2 linked regions of the Struthio camelus genome follow. The protein of the gene in region 2 purifies or fractionates together with the protein of the main gene of each other region. This does not show direct contact. Links are inferred from orthologs where the notes say so. Each region holds a gene or a part of one and is shown on either strand. Other genes may lie near its edges.

The links. Proteins that work in one complex are often made in the same cells at the same time.
Region 1: the proteins of ECD (region 2) and TSSC4 purify together in Homo sapiens (affinity purification with mass spectrometry; 3 studies listed by BioGRID and IntAct, counting the BioPlex papers as one, with this or other methods). This does not show direct contact. The link is inferred for Struthio camelus from reciprocal best matches to the Homo sapiens genes ECD and TSSC4.

The regions. Positions count from the first base shown.
Region 1 is NC_090946.1:18,609,123-18,616,905, forward strand, and holds the start of TSSC4 (U5 small nuclear ribonucleoprotein TSSC4), read left to right. Parts: upstream 1-3,715; 5' UTR 3,716-3,839; intron 3,840-3,942; 5' UTR 3,943-4,039; exon of another isoform or gene 4,040-4,064; intron 4,065-4,871; 5' UTR 4,872-4,944; intron 4,945-5,841; 5' UTR 5,842-5,929; coding exon 5,930-6,967; 3' UTR 6,968-7,783. UniProt on the Homo sapiens protein: Protein associated with the U5 snRNP, during its maturation and its post-splicing recycling and which is required for spliceosomal tri-snRNP complex assembly in the nucleus.
Region 2 is NC_090948.1:40,678,948-40,686,730, reverse strand, and holds the start of ECD (protein ecdysoneless homolog), read left to right. Parts: upstream 1-3,380; 5' UTR 3,381-3,535; coding exon 3,536-3,719; intron 3,720-3,814; coding exon 3,815-3,932; intron 3,933-4,097; coding exon 4,098-4,185; intron 4,186-5,589; coding exon 5,590-5,768; intron 5,769-6,520; coding exon 6,521-6,713; intron 6,714-7,234; coding exon 7,235-7,363; intron 7,364-7,783. Other genes in the region: primary cilium assembly protein FAM149B1, read right to left, coding at 171-313, 1,348-1,480, 2,194-2,298, 3,308-3,357. UniProt on the Homo sapiens protein: Regulator of p53/TP53 stability and function. Inhibits MDM2-mediated degradation of p53/TP53 possibly by cooperating in part with TXNIP. May be involved transcriptional regulation. In vitro has intrinsic transactivation activity enhanced by EP300.

The sequences.
Region 1 (7,783 bases), on a different chromosome or scaffold from region 2:
GCAGTATTAAACACACTGGGGCCAATGATAGGAAAGAAAAAAAAAAGAGGTGAGAATTAGGAGAAAGCTTTTTAGTAAAAATATGCTGTAGCTAAATCAAAATGAACAGAGGGTCCCCCAACTATTTGGGGTTTTGTTTTGTTGTTTTTTTAAATTTGAAACAACAATTGCACAGCACATTAATTTGGTCCTAAACAATTTCAGCTCCTGCTCCCCCTCAGATGTCGTGTGTGGCATCTCCTACACATACATGGTCTCTAACAGAGCAAGGGATGCAGGTTCTCAGCACAGGTCCTCTCCAGGTCAAGCAATAACATTGGTATTTGAAAGAACAGGTTGATGGAAACTGGGGTTTGGAGCTTCATGGCCTGCCTGTATTAAGACTAACGTCACAGTAACTACTTTGATAATAGTTACCTTAGGGGAAAAAAAGCACCAACATGGATAAACAGCACTGAAATAAATCAAAACTGCTTGCAGGTGAACCAGGACCAAATAAAAATACTAAGCAAAACTAGTGAGCAAAACTCTGTGTAGAAGAGAGTGTCAAACATTGAGCTCCTGGAAACTCACCCAACAGGATTTCATGGCCACTTGTAGACTTTCCTTCCTGCAAATGGGAGAGGGCAAATCTGATTATTTCCTTCAGCCACTACCTTTACCCCATTCTGCCCTGGTGCAGCTGCATCCTCCCAGCAGAGGACAATATGGTCTTTATTACTGTGCTATTACTGATTTTGGCTATAGGAAAATACTCCTTTCCCTCCCTACTTCCTTTCAGGACCTACAGCATCAGCTAAGCATAGCCAGGTCAGACTCACTTCCATCCTCACTCCAGATGCATAACGAGGTGAAAAAAAATGCATCTGCTTGCTCTCTCTGGCTTGCAGGATCTCAGTGGCTCACTTGTGTCCGACAGATACCGTGCCACTATTGCTTCCTAGTCCCCCACTGCAGAGACCTATGGCAACCGTTGCAGTCCCACCATAAGGAGCTTCCCCCATTTCTGAGGAATTGCCCCTTTCCAATAGCCATGAGGACAGGGGCAGGAACTGCCTGCCAGCGTCTACCCTGGCCTCTGACAGCAGAAGCAGCAGGAACCTGCCGGCTGAGTAGCAGAACCTGTTACCAGATGGGCACCAACTGACAGATGCGTTTGCAAGAAAGGAGCATGAAGCTCCCACCAGCAGGGCTGTGATGTGTATGCATTCGCACAGGCCACCCCCGCATGCAGGGAGGTGCTGGCTTCCTGCAGGCGCACAGGGCCACCTCCTCCAAGAAGCCCACGCCGTGGTGGAGCTGGCTCCTTGGAGCTTGCACACAGAACACGCCGCCCTCATTTGGATGATTTCCCGCACCACAGTTAGAGCCGCGATCCAGCCCCTCATCCCTCTTCAAGCCACCTTAGTTCATATTGGCTAGCGGAAAACGCTTTACCATCTGTTCATCTTCAGGGCCTGACTCATTATTTTTATTTCAGCTGTCACCAAGCAATAGCAAAAAAATCCCAACACACCAGTATATCCACCACTACAAACTGCCTTGTCCTCAGTCACCAGAAAAAAGTAGCTCATCCCCGGATTGCTGCAGTGTGTGGTACTGATCTTCTGCAAAAAGGCAGGAAGGAGAAAATGGGTACAGCCAGCTTCTGAAGGTGACTTTGGCCATTAACAGACATAGCTTCCAGGTGAAAACTGAGCAGTGACTAAGCCTAGCAATGCCAGTGGCCTCCACAAATCTAGGAATGGGGCTTGTCCCTGAAGGCACCCGGATTCGTGGATGATGGAGAGACTGGAGGTGGCGTAGCCCTTTTCTGCCCTCCTGAGCTCCTAACTAACGTAGCATTACAACCAGGTTTTAAACCATTTCATCCATTTGCACCAGACCTTCTTTGTCTCCACCCTTACAAAAAAAAGGGATATGCCACTGCCTACTCCACATCCTTTCCTTGCCTCCTCCTTTTTACTCTCCGAGATTCACTCCTGGTACGTCCCTGACATGCTACACAGTGTTACACAGACTTTACCTGTGTTTTAGTCTTATTTCCCCTTTCAGATGGTTTCCTTGCCTGTTTACTACCCTCCCCATACCTGCTCCTGCTGATGTACCAGAGAACTCTTCCGCTCTTCCTCCCTCCAGCCAGGAACCCATTTTAATGGCTGTGATCACACTATTTTCAAAAAGGATCACCAAATGGGGAAACACCTCTAGAACTGTTGATTTAAAACTGCAGCACAGCTCCGGCCAGACGAAAGACATTTTGTGCTAACCTTGTTACTGCTGCCAAACGTATTCCAAACACAGCTCTCATCTCATAAATTACTCATCTCATAAATTACTGTAGTGAGCAACACTCCAGAAGGCAAAAGTGTATATATATTTTAAAACTCACAATACAAATGGCTGCAGCTTATATTACAGATGACTCACAGCGAGGCCCCTCTTGAAGGGCTTCTGTGAAGTCTTTTAGGACACAGACACAAACTTACCTTTTGGCAAAGAAACCGAGATGAAACAGGGTTTGGATGCTGTGGAAAAAAAGGTGCCACCAAAATCCAAAATGGTAGGACTCCACCAACAGTTCTGTCTTTTGTTGCAAAACGATGATATAAATCATCTACAAGGCCTGGACTAAGTCCTATGTTTCTCTTAATCCTTCACTGCTGGGCAACCCGATTAAGTAAAGGCCTGACCTTTAGCAGCTCAGACCCTTTGTAGGCATTAATTTAATTCCATTTAATGACGAAGCCCCCACAATCATGCGACGCAGTAAGGGTGCGTGACCCTGCGGAAGGGTGGAGGGAAAAAGGAAAATCCTGCAAACTTCTGTACCGCATGCTGCGTGTATGGCACTCAAAGAACAAACCTTGCTCTTTTTTTTCCTGAACACACTGTAAATGAGCTAAATATTGAAGTCACTTGAGAAGTCTATTTTCACTGGAAATTTAAACTTTTCACTGAACGAGGGGAAAAAAAAAATCAAGCACCTTTGGCCAAAACCAATAAAACATTTTTAGAAAGAATTCCACTTTTCCAAGCATACACATTATGTTCTTCTGGGACAGAAAATGGAAACTTTCTTTTTTTGGCTGGACACTGGTTTTATGCCTCTAGTGACTTGGAAGTCTTCTGGTTGAAAAATAAATACATACAAATTAAAAAAAAAAACCAAAAACAAAACAAACACCAGACACTTCCTCTGACATTTTCACTGTGGCCAAACGCCTACTTTTCCGATGAGAAAAAAGGCTCTGCTGGACGTGTTTCTGCCAGGCGGCTGCGGGGATGCTCGGGAGGCGGCGGCGGTGCCCTCCGAGGGGCCGGCTCGCCGCGGGGCCGTTAGGCGGCGAGCTCGACGCTTGCCGGGCAGGCGGGGGCGGCCGGGACCCCGCTCCGGCCCCGCACACCGCGACGGCGGGGCCGGCCCTGCCATTGCTGCCCGGGCCGCAGGGCACTGCGCCAGCAGCGCGCCCGCCTCCCCACAGCCTGCAAAATGGCGGCGGAGAGCAGCGGGCGCCGCTCGCGGTGCACCCCGGGAGCCGTAGTCCCGCCGCGCCGCGTCCCGCGGAGGGCCCCAGCTCGCAAAATGTCCCCCACCTGGGGGCAAGCGGGCGAACTACAGCTCCCAGCATGCAAAGGGGCGAGGGGCGGGTGAGGCCTGGGTGGTGCCTTCCCGCCTTCCCCCCCCCCGCTCCGCTTTGCCTGCTGGGGGTTGTAGTCCCAGCGCCGCCCGCCGCCGCGCCGCCTCACGCGGCAGGGACTCGGTGTCCCAGCGTGCGCCGCGCGGGCAGGACGCGGGCGGTTGCTGCGAGGAGCCGTTGGGGTGGCGGCGGGTTGTGGTAGGGGGCTGCGGGCCCGGCGGGAGAGGCAACGGCGAAGGGCGGGGAGGGCTGCCGGCCACGGCGTGGGGGTGATGGCGTGTGTGTTCTGCCTTGGCTGCAGGGGGAGAGGCCTGCGGCCGCATGGAGGAGCGTGAGGGGGCCCTTCCCGGCCAGGGAGCCGCCGGGCTGCGGCGGGCTGACGCCGCCCTCGCCGACCGGTGGGTAGCTGACCTCGGCTAGGAGGTACCGTGACTCCCCCGACGCGCACGGTGCCGCCTGCAAGCAGTCGTTTCAGTCGCTCCTGCCTTTTCCTGGGCTCTCCTGGGTGGCAGCCGCTTCTCTCACGTGCTACGGCAGCTGAACCGGAAGGGCGTAAGGGGTTTCAGCCGGCCGTTGGCCATGTAGCAGTGGCAGCAGGGGCCGTGCTTTTAAAAGCAGTCATCCGCTCGCCTTGCCCAAGGCAGCTGGGCTGCGTGTGCAACGCACCGCTCGGGCTGCTGCCTTCTTGAGAAGTTGCTCTGTGTTTTAACGCCTGGTAGAAATCTGGCCCAGATTGTGAATACGGCCTTGCTTTGAAAACACAGGCCTGGGCTAGCCTGGGTCTCTGCTGTGTGGGCCTGGGCTAGCCTTGGTCTCTCTCTTTTTTCTTTTTTTTTTCTTTTTGCAGCGTTTAAGTGCTCGTAACGCATAAGCGTCCATTTGATATTTTTCTTGGCCGTATGTAACATAGTTCACCTCTTGACGGTTTACTGCTCGTGCAAATGACAGTGTTATTTTTTTTAAAAGGCTGTCTCCCGTTCTACAGACTCTTAAGGCGGGCAGCGTGAGCGTGGAGACTGAGTAAATGTAGCGGTGCCAGCCTTATTAGGGAGCGCGTTGTTCTTTTGCCAAGAATCCGGGAATATCTGCAGACTTGTATATTAGCGTGAGCTTATGTCAGATTTAGAAATCAGTTCTGCAGTTTTGGATGATTCAGAGAGAAGGAATTATTTTTAAAGCTCATGCTAAAACTACATTTCCAATATTGTAATGGAAATGTTTGTTTTCTAGGGTGGAAGTGCTTGTATCGTTGATGGCTTTAACTGACCCTCAGGAGGGGAAGCTGACTCAGTCTCAAGAGAAAGTGAGTGACTAACAGACTTTCTATGTCTGTTTACTGCATTGTTTGAAAATAACCCATAATTATGTAGTTGAGCTTATTCTAGTAATATACTAGAACTATTTCCTTATCTCATGTTTTTGTGAGCTGAACTGAGGTGCATATTCACCAGCTCCGCTTCTTATTGCCCAGCAAGTGGCAGCGTGAACAGCAACCATCTCCGGTTATGGAGAGTTCCCTTCTGTCGGAAGACAGAGCGAATCTGGTATTCCAGCCTGTACTGGAACTCAGGCTTCGGTTTCACAGTTTGTTTTTACTGAGTGAAGGGCCAGCTCTTGTTGAGCCTCAGTTGCAGGCTCCCCTTGCTTCCACTGTGTTAGCACAAGCAAGGCATGTGTGATTAGTTTTCCTAATCCAATTAGATTAAGTCCTTGAGCTGGCTCATCACATGATCCCTGAAACCTAGTAATGACGTGACAGAGCTTAAAGTCAGGGAAGGAATGAAGCCTGTGCTTTATATCAGTAAAGAAAAAATGAAGCTATAGCCGTGCTGTTTTATAAACTTCTCTCTCACTGACCTTGATCAGTGAGAGTGTTCTTTGTAACAGACAGTATAATGAATACACTGCTTATTGGCACAAGGCGTAGTGCTAGTGCAGCAAAGGAAAATAGCAGCCAAAGTAAGTGAGAGATTAGGGTATATTTCTGTTGGATTTATACAGTACGGTAAACATAGGGTGTAGTCTGGACAGGTCATTGCTGGAAGTAGCGTATAAGACAGTCATGTGGATTTGCTCAAAAACTTGATGCTGATAACCTGTGCCATGTAAACAATGGTTACAGCAGGACCGATTATTAAGTTAAGAGTGATACGTATGGTACTTGTATCACAGTTGAATTTTTGAACTCCTTGCATTCTAGGCGTTACATTCGTTGGGTATTTGGAAAACCATATTTGCTGGTGTTCCTGGACCTACATCATAGACATCAGTGGAGTGACAGCCCAAAGATGGGAGATCAAGATGCAGGTGAACCCTTTCTGGGTATAGTGGCTGGTGGTACCACAGACTACGAAGGAGTTCTGCCCTCTGACACAGTATCACTCAGCGATTCTGATTCCGATGACTTTGGGTTAGCGGATGAAGCTGAAGTTGATACAATATCTCCTGAGGAGCCATCTGTAGATGATGGGGGTTACCAATCAGGGGAGACCTCCGACTCTTCAAACAGCCGTTGTAAATCTCCCATCCAGCCATTCCACTTGAGAGGCATGAGTTCTACATTCTCTCTCCGTAGCCAGAGCATTTTTGATTGCTTGGAAGAGGCAGCCAAACTGTCTGTGCCCTCATTGCCTGAAGATAATGTTGTTGATGGTAGGTTTAAACGTCCTTTGCCTCCAACTACTGTTTCAAGTAACATGGTTCCAGAAAGCCCTGGAAAACAAACCAAACCAGTGCAGGCTCCCAAAATTTCTGCTGCAGTTCCTGACTATGTGGCACACCCAGAGCGCTGGACCAAGTATAGCCTAGATGGCGTTTCAGAGTCTAATGACAAGACTAACAGGGCAGTGGCCATGGAGTTTCTAGAGGGTTTGAAGAAAAGAGGAGAGGAACAAAGCTCAGCTGCCCACGATAGCTACACCCCATACTTCAACCAGGACCCCTCCAGCTGTGGTGCTGGAAGGATTATCTTCACCAAACCAACAAAAAGGGGCGTTGATGGACTGGAAAAGAAAGTGTCAGCAGGGGAGGATCATAAGAAACACACAAAAACAGATCTGAGAGGAAAATCTCCTAAGAAGACTGATGACTTGAGGGAGGAAGATAAGATAGAGTTGGGGCATTTAGACGATGCAAGTGGGAAGGCAACAGAGGAAGAGGGGTGCCTGATGATGGGGGACCTAAACAGAGAAGGTAAACTTAGTGCAAGGTTTAGTGATGCAGATGAAGAGCCACTGGTGGAAACGGTTGGATTCCATTGCAGTAAGAAGAGGAACAGGAAAAATTTCCGACCTAAAGTAGACCATGAAGAGGAAGAGGAGTCCTGAAGGGTGGAGCAAAACTAGAGACATCCAAGGACTTGTATTGTTCTAGGAGATCACCTCTGGATATGTTTGCTTTTTCTTAGCCCCCTTTTTTTTTTTTTTTTTTTTTGATCAGGAAACCAGGTGATAGCTAACAGTTTGCATCATAGCATCCAAGTCCATTTTATATTGTTAGAAATTAAGCTACCCAAAGTTCATTCCATACTTTTTGTTCTTGACCCTGGGCACAGGATAACTGCACCTTAGCAGGAGAGAAAGTAGCATGCTTTCTTTACTTGAACAGCTCCCTGGGGCTTGCTCTGGAGCTGTGGTAGTCCTGAACACCAAAGAGAAAGTTGTTAGCTTAAAGGCTGTAAGGAGGATAATGAAATAAAGTCATTCTACTCGGTCACAAATTTGAACTTGTCCCCTAGTCCTGTAGACTCCTGGAACAAATGTGACGAGCTCATTATGTAGAGATTTTTAAAGAATGGGAAGGGGAAAAAAAAAACAAACCCTAGTCTTCCACTGGATTCGATTTCTCTTGGCCCTGTCCCAGGAAGGAACCCCCCCCCCACACACACACACACTTTTTTTTTTTTTTTAAATACATTCTAGGACACAGGTGGGAACTGGCAAACTGAATTTTTTTAAGGTTGTCTTACTACTTGACTTATTTCAGTAGTGTTATATGATAAACATATAAAGAAACTCAGTGTCTCCTGGGGACAGGAACAACTTTGGAAACATCCTGGTGAAAGCAGATTCAGGATGACTTTGGTCAAGTCCCACCACGTTGAATAGGTTAGACTTTGCAACAACTTTTCCTCTTGGTGGTAT
Region 2 (7,783 bases):
AGCAGCAGGCAGACTACTAAAGCGATCTTTATCTCCATCTACTGTATCCTTGCATAAAATCACCCTGCTACTAACAGTGTTTCAAAAAACAGCTCTTAGAATTATAAAAGAGCAAGAGCAGCCATGCTGTGATGCTACTTTCATTAGTCTAAAAAAATGAAATGAAAAACCTGAGATGAGGAAAGCTGGAAGTCCACTGCTGACATTCTTCCTGCAGTCCCTCAACATGTACATTTTCTTTTTGTTCATAAAGAAGCTCATCAATTTGTCTGAACATTTGCTGAACCTGTCGTGTGGCAGCTTTATCAAATTCCTGGAAAGGAAAGTTATCCAATAAAAACCTAGTGAATGGTATTTGGAGTTTTTTTTTTAATTGACATTTTTAAAATTGAAAAGACACCTGTTTGTTTAAAGCTTAGCAGGATGGATTTAAACAGCAATGACCTCCACTGCATTTAAAGACGTTAACTTTAAATAATTTTTCACTGGGAGATGATGCAGACCACTGCTGGGGTCGATGGTAGCTACATAAAAAGCTTAAATTGACGCAACAGAAAACCTATTAAAACATTTTGAAATGTCTACATTATTAAGTTAGAGACATAATAATTTGCATAAAACATACCCGAACACAAAGGATAAAATTCAGCAAGATTTTAATGAAATGGAAAGTTCGTTGCTTGTATTGTCCACAGATGACACCAAAACAAAAAGCAATGCAGACCGGTGTAAAACACTATGCAGCGAAGGATGATCACGATCTTTGCTAAATGTTGTCGTGTTGCTAGAAAATGGTTCTTGAGTAATTCAAATCTGAACAGTTCCCCATCTTTACCTCACAGAAAGCAATAGCATCCTTTGTTTTGGCAGACGGGGAATAAAGGACATTTTTTAAATTAAAATAATGTTTTAGGGCATTACTATATTTTGAGAAACATACAAATATCCACAAGTTTTCTTAAATCTGAAGTTTGAGAAACGCAAAGCATATGAAAATCATCCACTCACATTTAGGATTCCACAATAATAGCATTAATGTTGTGTATGTACATATGTGTGAATATGTGTGTGTGAGTGCATATGCATTAAATATATTTGCACCATCAACTCTTTAGACCGGGAACGCAGAATACTAATTGCATATGAATTGACTACAAATCGAGTATGTTCTGATCTAAGAGGAAGGGAAAGACGGAGGTCAAAACAATGCTTTTCCTATAACCACTGTCATTGCTTTATTTACAGATCCAGTGCTCATCTTTACCCTGAAATGTACTTCCAATGGCATTTCAAGTGTCTTTCAACTCGCTGTGCTGGATTTGGTTTGGATGATTACGTTCTACTCACATCACAGCCCCAAGAGAAGACTGAGCTGTCTTCAGTGGTGGTTCCTGCATAGCTCTGACTAACAGACCATGAATTCCCATGATCGGTTGGAGTAACAGAAGGGTAATCTGTTTCCTTCGAAATTTCAGATTCACTGAAATGCACACATTGAGAAAAAAGGAAGAAGAAAAAAAGCAATAATCACAGAATCACAAACAAGTGGGTAAGTAAACTTTTCTTTCTGTACAAAAGAGCACAGATATATCAGAACAGGTCTCAGCAACCCTCCTCTAAGAACAGTTTTCAAACGGTAAATATTTAAATTAGAGGCACTTAAGCAGAAACCATAGTATGTGTTACTCTAGGTTGGAACTGTAATTCTTAATAACCTCACTGACATAGGAAGTCTAGGGGGTCAGGCTTTCAAACATTAATTTTCCAAAAATTATCTTAGTTACTCTGCAGACAATTTCTAGTTCCAGTTCTACATCACTCAAGAATTATTCTTCCCCTTTCCCTCTTGTTTCTGGCATACAATTAAGATGCCATTTACAGGCTGGGAACAGAACACAGTAAAAACACTGATTATTATTTCCAAAATGCATCTGCGCCGCAGCACATATCCTGGGGCTTGCAAAATGTACCACACTGTCTAATGGAACTGAAATAGAGGTCCACCATCTCAAAAACCTGAGGCTGCAACCCTGCCTCTTGAGTACCCACAGAAAGGACATGTTCTGAAACGCTACAGTCAGGAGTTAAAGCCTAAGCCTAACTGTATTACTCTGGCACTTCTGTGACGGAGTAACACCGAAGTGACTGTTCCTCTATTGTCTCCAGAGATACATTTTATGTTATTACCAGTACCTTGAGGTCTCCCCATAGCTTTTGACAGTGGGTGCAGCTGGGTGGACCTCAGCTCGTGGTTCTGGCAGGGGATGCTGCTGCAAGGCATGTTTTGTAAGTCCTTGTCTAAAACAGAGAAGTGGAAGTTAGAAAAATAAACACCTGCAGAGTTCCAAAGTGTTACAGTTTGTTGTTGTTGGGTTTTTTTTGGCTCTTGAAGGAATGCACTCATTTGCATACCTGACCTCATTTATTGTTAAAAGGCTAGTTCCTGTTATCAAAGCTTTAGAACTGAGATGAAAACTAACTCCAGGCTAAACACGGAGTTAAAGGGCTTTGCTTAGAAAGCAGTATCTTCCTTTACAGTAAACTTAAAATACTGTTGTGAACTGGGTTACAGCTCTGTAAAAGCAGATGTAACATAGCTGTCCCCCCAGGCGACCTGTAATCACACAGAACAACACTGGCCTCTAAACTCAAGCACAGGCAAAATAAGGGAAAACGGTATTTGCTAGTTTTTGTTTTGTTAAAATTTAGATGTCTAGGAAAAAGAGACAAGAAAAGGCAGAGCAGTAGGAGAGAGAGAAGTGCAGGAAGGCAACTACGGTGAATAGCTCTGGGAAGAAAGATCAAAGATCAAACAAAAAAAAAAGAAAAAAAAAAGAACAAAGCACGTCTTTATCCCGAGTACCGGCCGAAGAAGCCCTCTCTTCTGTGATACCTCTGGTGTTGGAGAGAGCAAGGCTACCGAAGTAAACAACACCGCATCAAAGGAGCTAACTACCAAAACCTAGGTATTTTCCTATACCCCCCCTCCCCGGGAAAAAAAAAAAAAAAAGCATCAGTTACCCCCTGGGTCAAAAAGAGGCAATTTAAGTTAATCACCTCCTACCAAACCTGCCTTTCCCGGTAGTGACAACGCGCGGGCACCGCCGCGCTCAGCCCGTCAGGAGGCTGCCCGTATCCCGGCCCCCTCCCGCGGCCCCAGCGTTACCCGGCGCAGCCCCCCGGCCCCGTTTCGGCGGCCGCCCAGCAGGCCCGAGCGCGGGGCCTGGCCGGGCGCGGCGGAGCCCGGGGGCGGCGCGGGGGAAGCCGCGGCGGGGCCGGGGGGGGGGGCAGAGCGGCGGCCACTCACTTCTGCCGGGCGCCGGGGGGCACCGGCTTGCGCGCGTATCGCGAGATCATCCTCCGCCCGCCTCGCCTCAGCTCAGCTCAGCTCAGCGCGGCAGCGGCAACGCCGCCGCCCGCCGCCTCCCCGCCATGGCGACGCTCCTCCCCGCCCCGCCCCGCCCCGCCCCGCGCCGCGCCGGGGAGGCGGAGCGGCACTGCGCGGCCCTGCGCAGCACGGCTCGGCCCTGCGCTCATGGAGGGCGGCCGGCGGGCCGCGCTGGCGGAGGACGCCGTGCGCTACCGCCTCTTCCCGGTGGCGGGCGGCGAGGCGCCCCTCCGCCGCTGCGCCGACAGGATCCTGCTGCGCTTCGCGCCGCTCCTGGCCGCCTACATCTGGCAGCGGCAGCCCTTCCGGCTGCGCTGCCTGCCGGCTCGCGGTGAGCAGCGCCGCCGCGCCGCGCCGCGCCCGTTAGCGGGGCCTCGAGCCGCCTCTCATCATCTCCTCTCCCTTCCCCCCCCCCCCCCCGGGCAGGCGACACCCCGGCGCACATCGGCGGCACCACGCTGTTCGGGGATAACGTGGAGGACGAGTGGTTCATCGTCTACCTCGTGCGCGAGATCACCAGGCAGTTCCCGGAGCTGGCCGCCAGGTAGGGGGGCGGGGCGGGGCGGGGCGGCCAACGGCCGACAGCGGCCAACGGCCAACGGCCAACGGCCGCGCTGGGGGGGGAGCGGCCTCCCGCCCAGGGGTTGGAGCGCCGAGGGCGGGCCCCCTGAGCCCGCCTGCCGGCAGAGCCCCCTTTCTCCCTGGCCAGGGTTGACGACAACGACGGGGAGTTTCTGCTGATAGAAGCTGCTGATTTCCTGCCGAAGGGGCTGAATCCCGAGAACAGTGAAAACCGGGTGAGTTCAGGGCTTTCCTGCAAATGAGCAGGTGTACGGGAGACTTAACCGCTGGCCGGCTCTGACGCTTGTTTTTGCCCCGCGTGCTCCTACAGGATGCTAGGTAAAATGAATGAGAAACTGCTGTAGGAACATCTAAAAGTGCTGCAGCTATCGAGTGGTTCTTCTAGAGTCGTTTTTTCAAAGCCCTCGTGCGCTCGAGTCAGAGGAGGAAAAAAGAGAGCTTTCTTCTACTCATAACGTGACGCTCGCGCAGAGACTCGAGACCTGCCTGAGAGCCTCTGAATCCCTCTTGATTAGCTAGATCTGATTCTTGCACATAAATCAGCCTTTCAGGGTTGTTAACTGACTTGGCTTCTGTAAACCTACCGTTAGTGTTGGCTAAAACAGTGCAATTGCGAAGACAGAGAAGGTGTCATGCTGTTTATTAATCTATAAAACCAGTTTGATAGTCTCCTTCCCGTTATCTAGGTTACTGGAGTGCTAGGAAAATTTAGATAATATGGGAACTGCGGAATATATTTGTTATGCACGCATGCCATATTGCTTTCCTGAGGAGCACTCTTGCCCCTGTGTGAGCTTTCTAGCTCGGGTATAGCCGCTTGAGTTTTTCTACCATGTAGTGCTCAGGCTGCACATGTAGTGCAGCCTGGGGAACGCTCAAGACTGGAGCGTCTCTGACTCTACAGGTTGACAGCCTGGGTCTGGCGTAGCTGAACCGATGAGCTGACTCCTTCGCCAGAGTCTGCAGCTGAATCACCTCACCGTAGATGATTGTCAGTGGATTATGTCACTGAATTTCTTACCTACAGATTTGAATGGAAAGAACTTACTTCTTCGTTAGCGGAGAATTTTTGTGTACTCCTCCAAGGCAGTTAAAAAGAGAAAGGAGGCGGGGGAAGACACAACACAAAAATGAATCACAAACCCTTAACTGGATTATTAGTACCATGTTCTCCTTCCATTTCAAGGATTGGGAGGTGACAATGCTAGATCCAGCTGTTCTTCTCTTAGGCTAAGAAAACAGCAGAGGTCACATGTCAGAGGCACCCGAAATGGTGCTCTTCAGTCATTGTCCTGTTCTTCAGCAGCTAGGTTATTTTGCTGTCAGGTTCTCCTGAAGTGGATCTCCAATTTAAGAGAAACTTTTGGTACGGCAGTTATTAAAGAAACAAGATTTATGTGATCAAACCTGTTGCTGCTATTAAAATAGCCTTTATTTAGTGGTTAGGTCATGGTCTTCAGTGCCTGTATGTACTTCATGCTGTTTCCTGTGTTATTTCAATATTCGTACTCCAGTATTCTCTGCGTTTAAACAAACACGTTCATCTATGAAAAGAAATTTTGCATTGGTCAGTCTGTGACTGTTTTTACCCTTCTGATGAAAACGTTACTGTCTGCCAGGTATTCTTTTACAAAGGTGAGCTGCACATCATTCCACTGCCGGAGACTCATGGGCAGGAATGGGAGCTACCTGCTTCCAGTCCGACAATCTCACAGGCGTTAACGTTGTTATCCACCCGTGCGGAGGAGTGTCTGGCCGCAAAACCCATTAGAACGGCCGTGTATAAACGCATCAGTGGGTACGTGGATGGTTTATGGTGTTCTGTAGCCGCTGATTCTTGGCTCTCTGGGGTACTTTCTTTCCTTGCATTCGGTCGTTTTCCTGTTCACTGTGCTAAAGCTGCTTCCTTTTCTGAAGCCCCAGGGAGAGTTTTTCTGTGGCGTTCTTTGGGGGGAGGCGGCACAGTCACGTAAACTGTAACCTTGTCTGGGGGCTCAGGTAGAGGTTCAATGTGATGATGCCGCACCTGACAGTGGTAGGAGTTACTCCACATCCTTCCCATACTAATTGGTGAGGAAATCTGAAAATTGTCTGAGTCCTCTGGGGGAAGAGGCAATCCTGAACAACGGTGCAGAACCAGCATGCTTTTCAGAGCATCAGCTCACTCTCTGAAATGGTCAGCAGTACATGTAATTTTCTGCAAGGATGTGACAGCCTGAGCCAGATGACCTCTGCAGTCAGCACAGTGAAGGAAGCTGCGTAGCTGGACATATTAGTTCAATTCACAGTGATGCTTTTTACCAATGTGGGGATTAAATTTTTCTTAGCTATATATTTTTATTTCTCTTTTTTTTTTTTTTTTTAAGTGAATCTTGTTTAGGCGTTCCATCTGGTAGATTAGCTGAGTTTTAACTTTATTTCAGAATAATCTTCTTGTACTCGGCCCATAGTACAGACTAATATTAAAGTAAAAATGGAAACAGTAATTAAAAAGGAGTGGTTTGGTCTTGCAATACACTTAATACACTATATTGCTATCATACGATACAGGTATCCTGAGAAAATTCAGGCCTCGTTTCACCGAGCCCACTGCTACCTCCCGGCAGGCATTGTGGCAGTGCTTAGGCAGCGCCCTTCGTTGGTGGCTGCAGCAGTCCAGGCCTTTTACCTGCGAGATCCCATAGATTTGCGAGCGTGTCGCTCTTTTCGGACTTTCCCTCCGGATGAGCGTGTGATGACTGTAGTAAGTGATGCTTCTAATTCAACTTGTTATCACTGAATTAAGTTCTGTTACTGATGGAGGTTCTGTGGTCAAGTTAGATAAATGTATGGGTTTCATTTTTAAAATAGCACGTTTTCTGATTTTCTCTTTTGACACTAGCCATGGATTTCCAGTTGATTATGTTAATAGCTTTGCTGCCTTCAGATTGATGTGGCTAGGCTTTCAAACGGGCTAAACGCCAGAGAAGAATTTCTGAAGTCGGAGGACACTACTGCTAAAAGTTCCTCTGCTAAAATGTATTTAGATCTAACAAAGTTCGTATTTATTTAGAGATGTTACCATCTTTGAATATACTGTGTAAAATCTAAGAAGTGACACATCTTAGACAAATACATCTGTCAACTTCTAAATACCATCTGACAGATTGTCTGTAGTATGGATGCTTTAAAATACAATTCAGATGGCAGAGTGTGAAAGGTGATGCCCATATAGAACACGGTCGCGCTGCAGCGAGTGTTTTTCTTTTGCTCTGCTGTTTTCAGGTTACTTTCACAAAGTGTTTATATGCACAACTAATGCAGCAGAAGTTTGTTCCAGACAGACGCAGTGGATACACGCTGCCCCCGCCATCCCACCCTCAGTACAAAGCCCATGAACTGGGCATGAAACTGGTAATTATTATCTTTTTTTTTTTTTTTATGCGTTGTGTACTTAGTCTGTTTAGTTTGTTTGTTTAGAGGTGTCGAAGAAATGACACTTTGCGGGTTGTCTGCTTCAACAGGAAGATGTAAGCAAACTGGCAATTGCAATTTTTGTAGAAATATGATATTAAGTATTCTGGGAGTTTTCTTTTATAGAGCACTTTTGTACTCTAGAAACTGTTCCAATCGGGACTTACGGGTTTGTGTTGCCATAGCTGACCTGGTGTCAAATCCAGTTAATTTTCCCTAAATGAATATGAAAAGTAGCATCCATCTCAAGGTAGACGAGATCGGTTTTAGCGTCTGCCTGAAGTAGCACATCCTGTCATGTTTTAAGTTGCTGTTTACGGCCTTTGTATGGGGAGAATTTTCTGTGGGCTAAACTTGCAT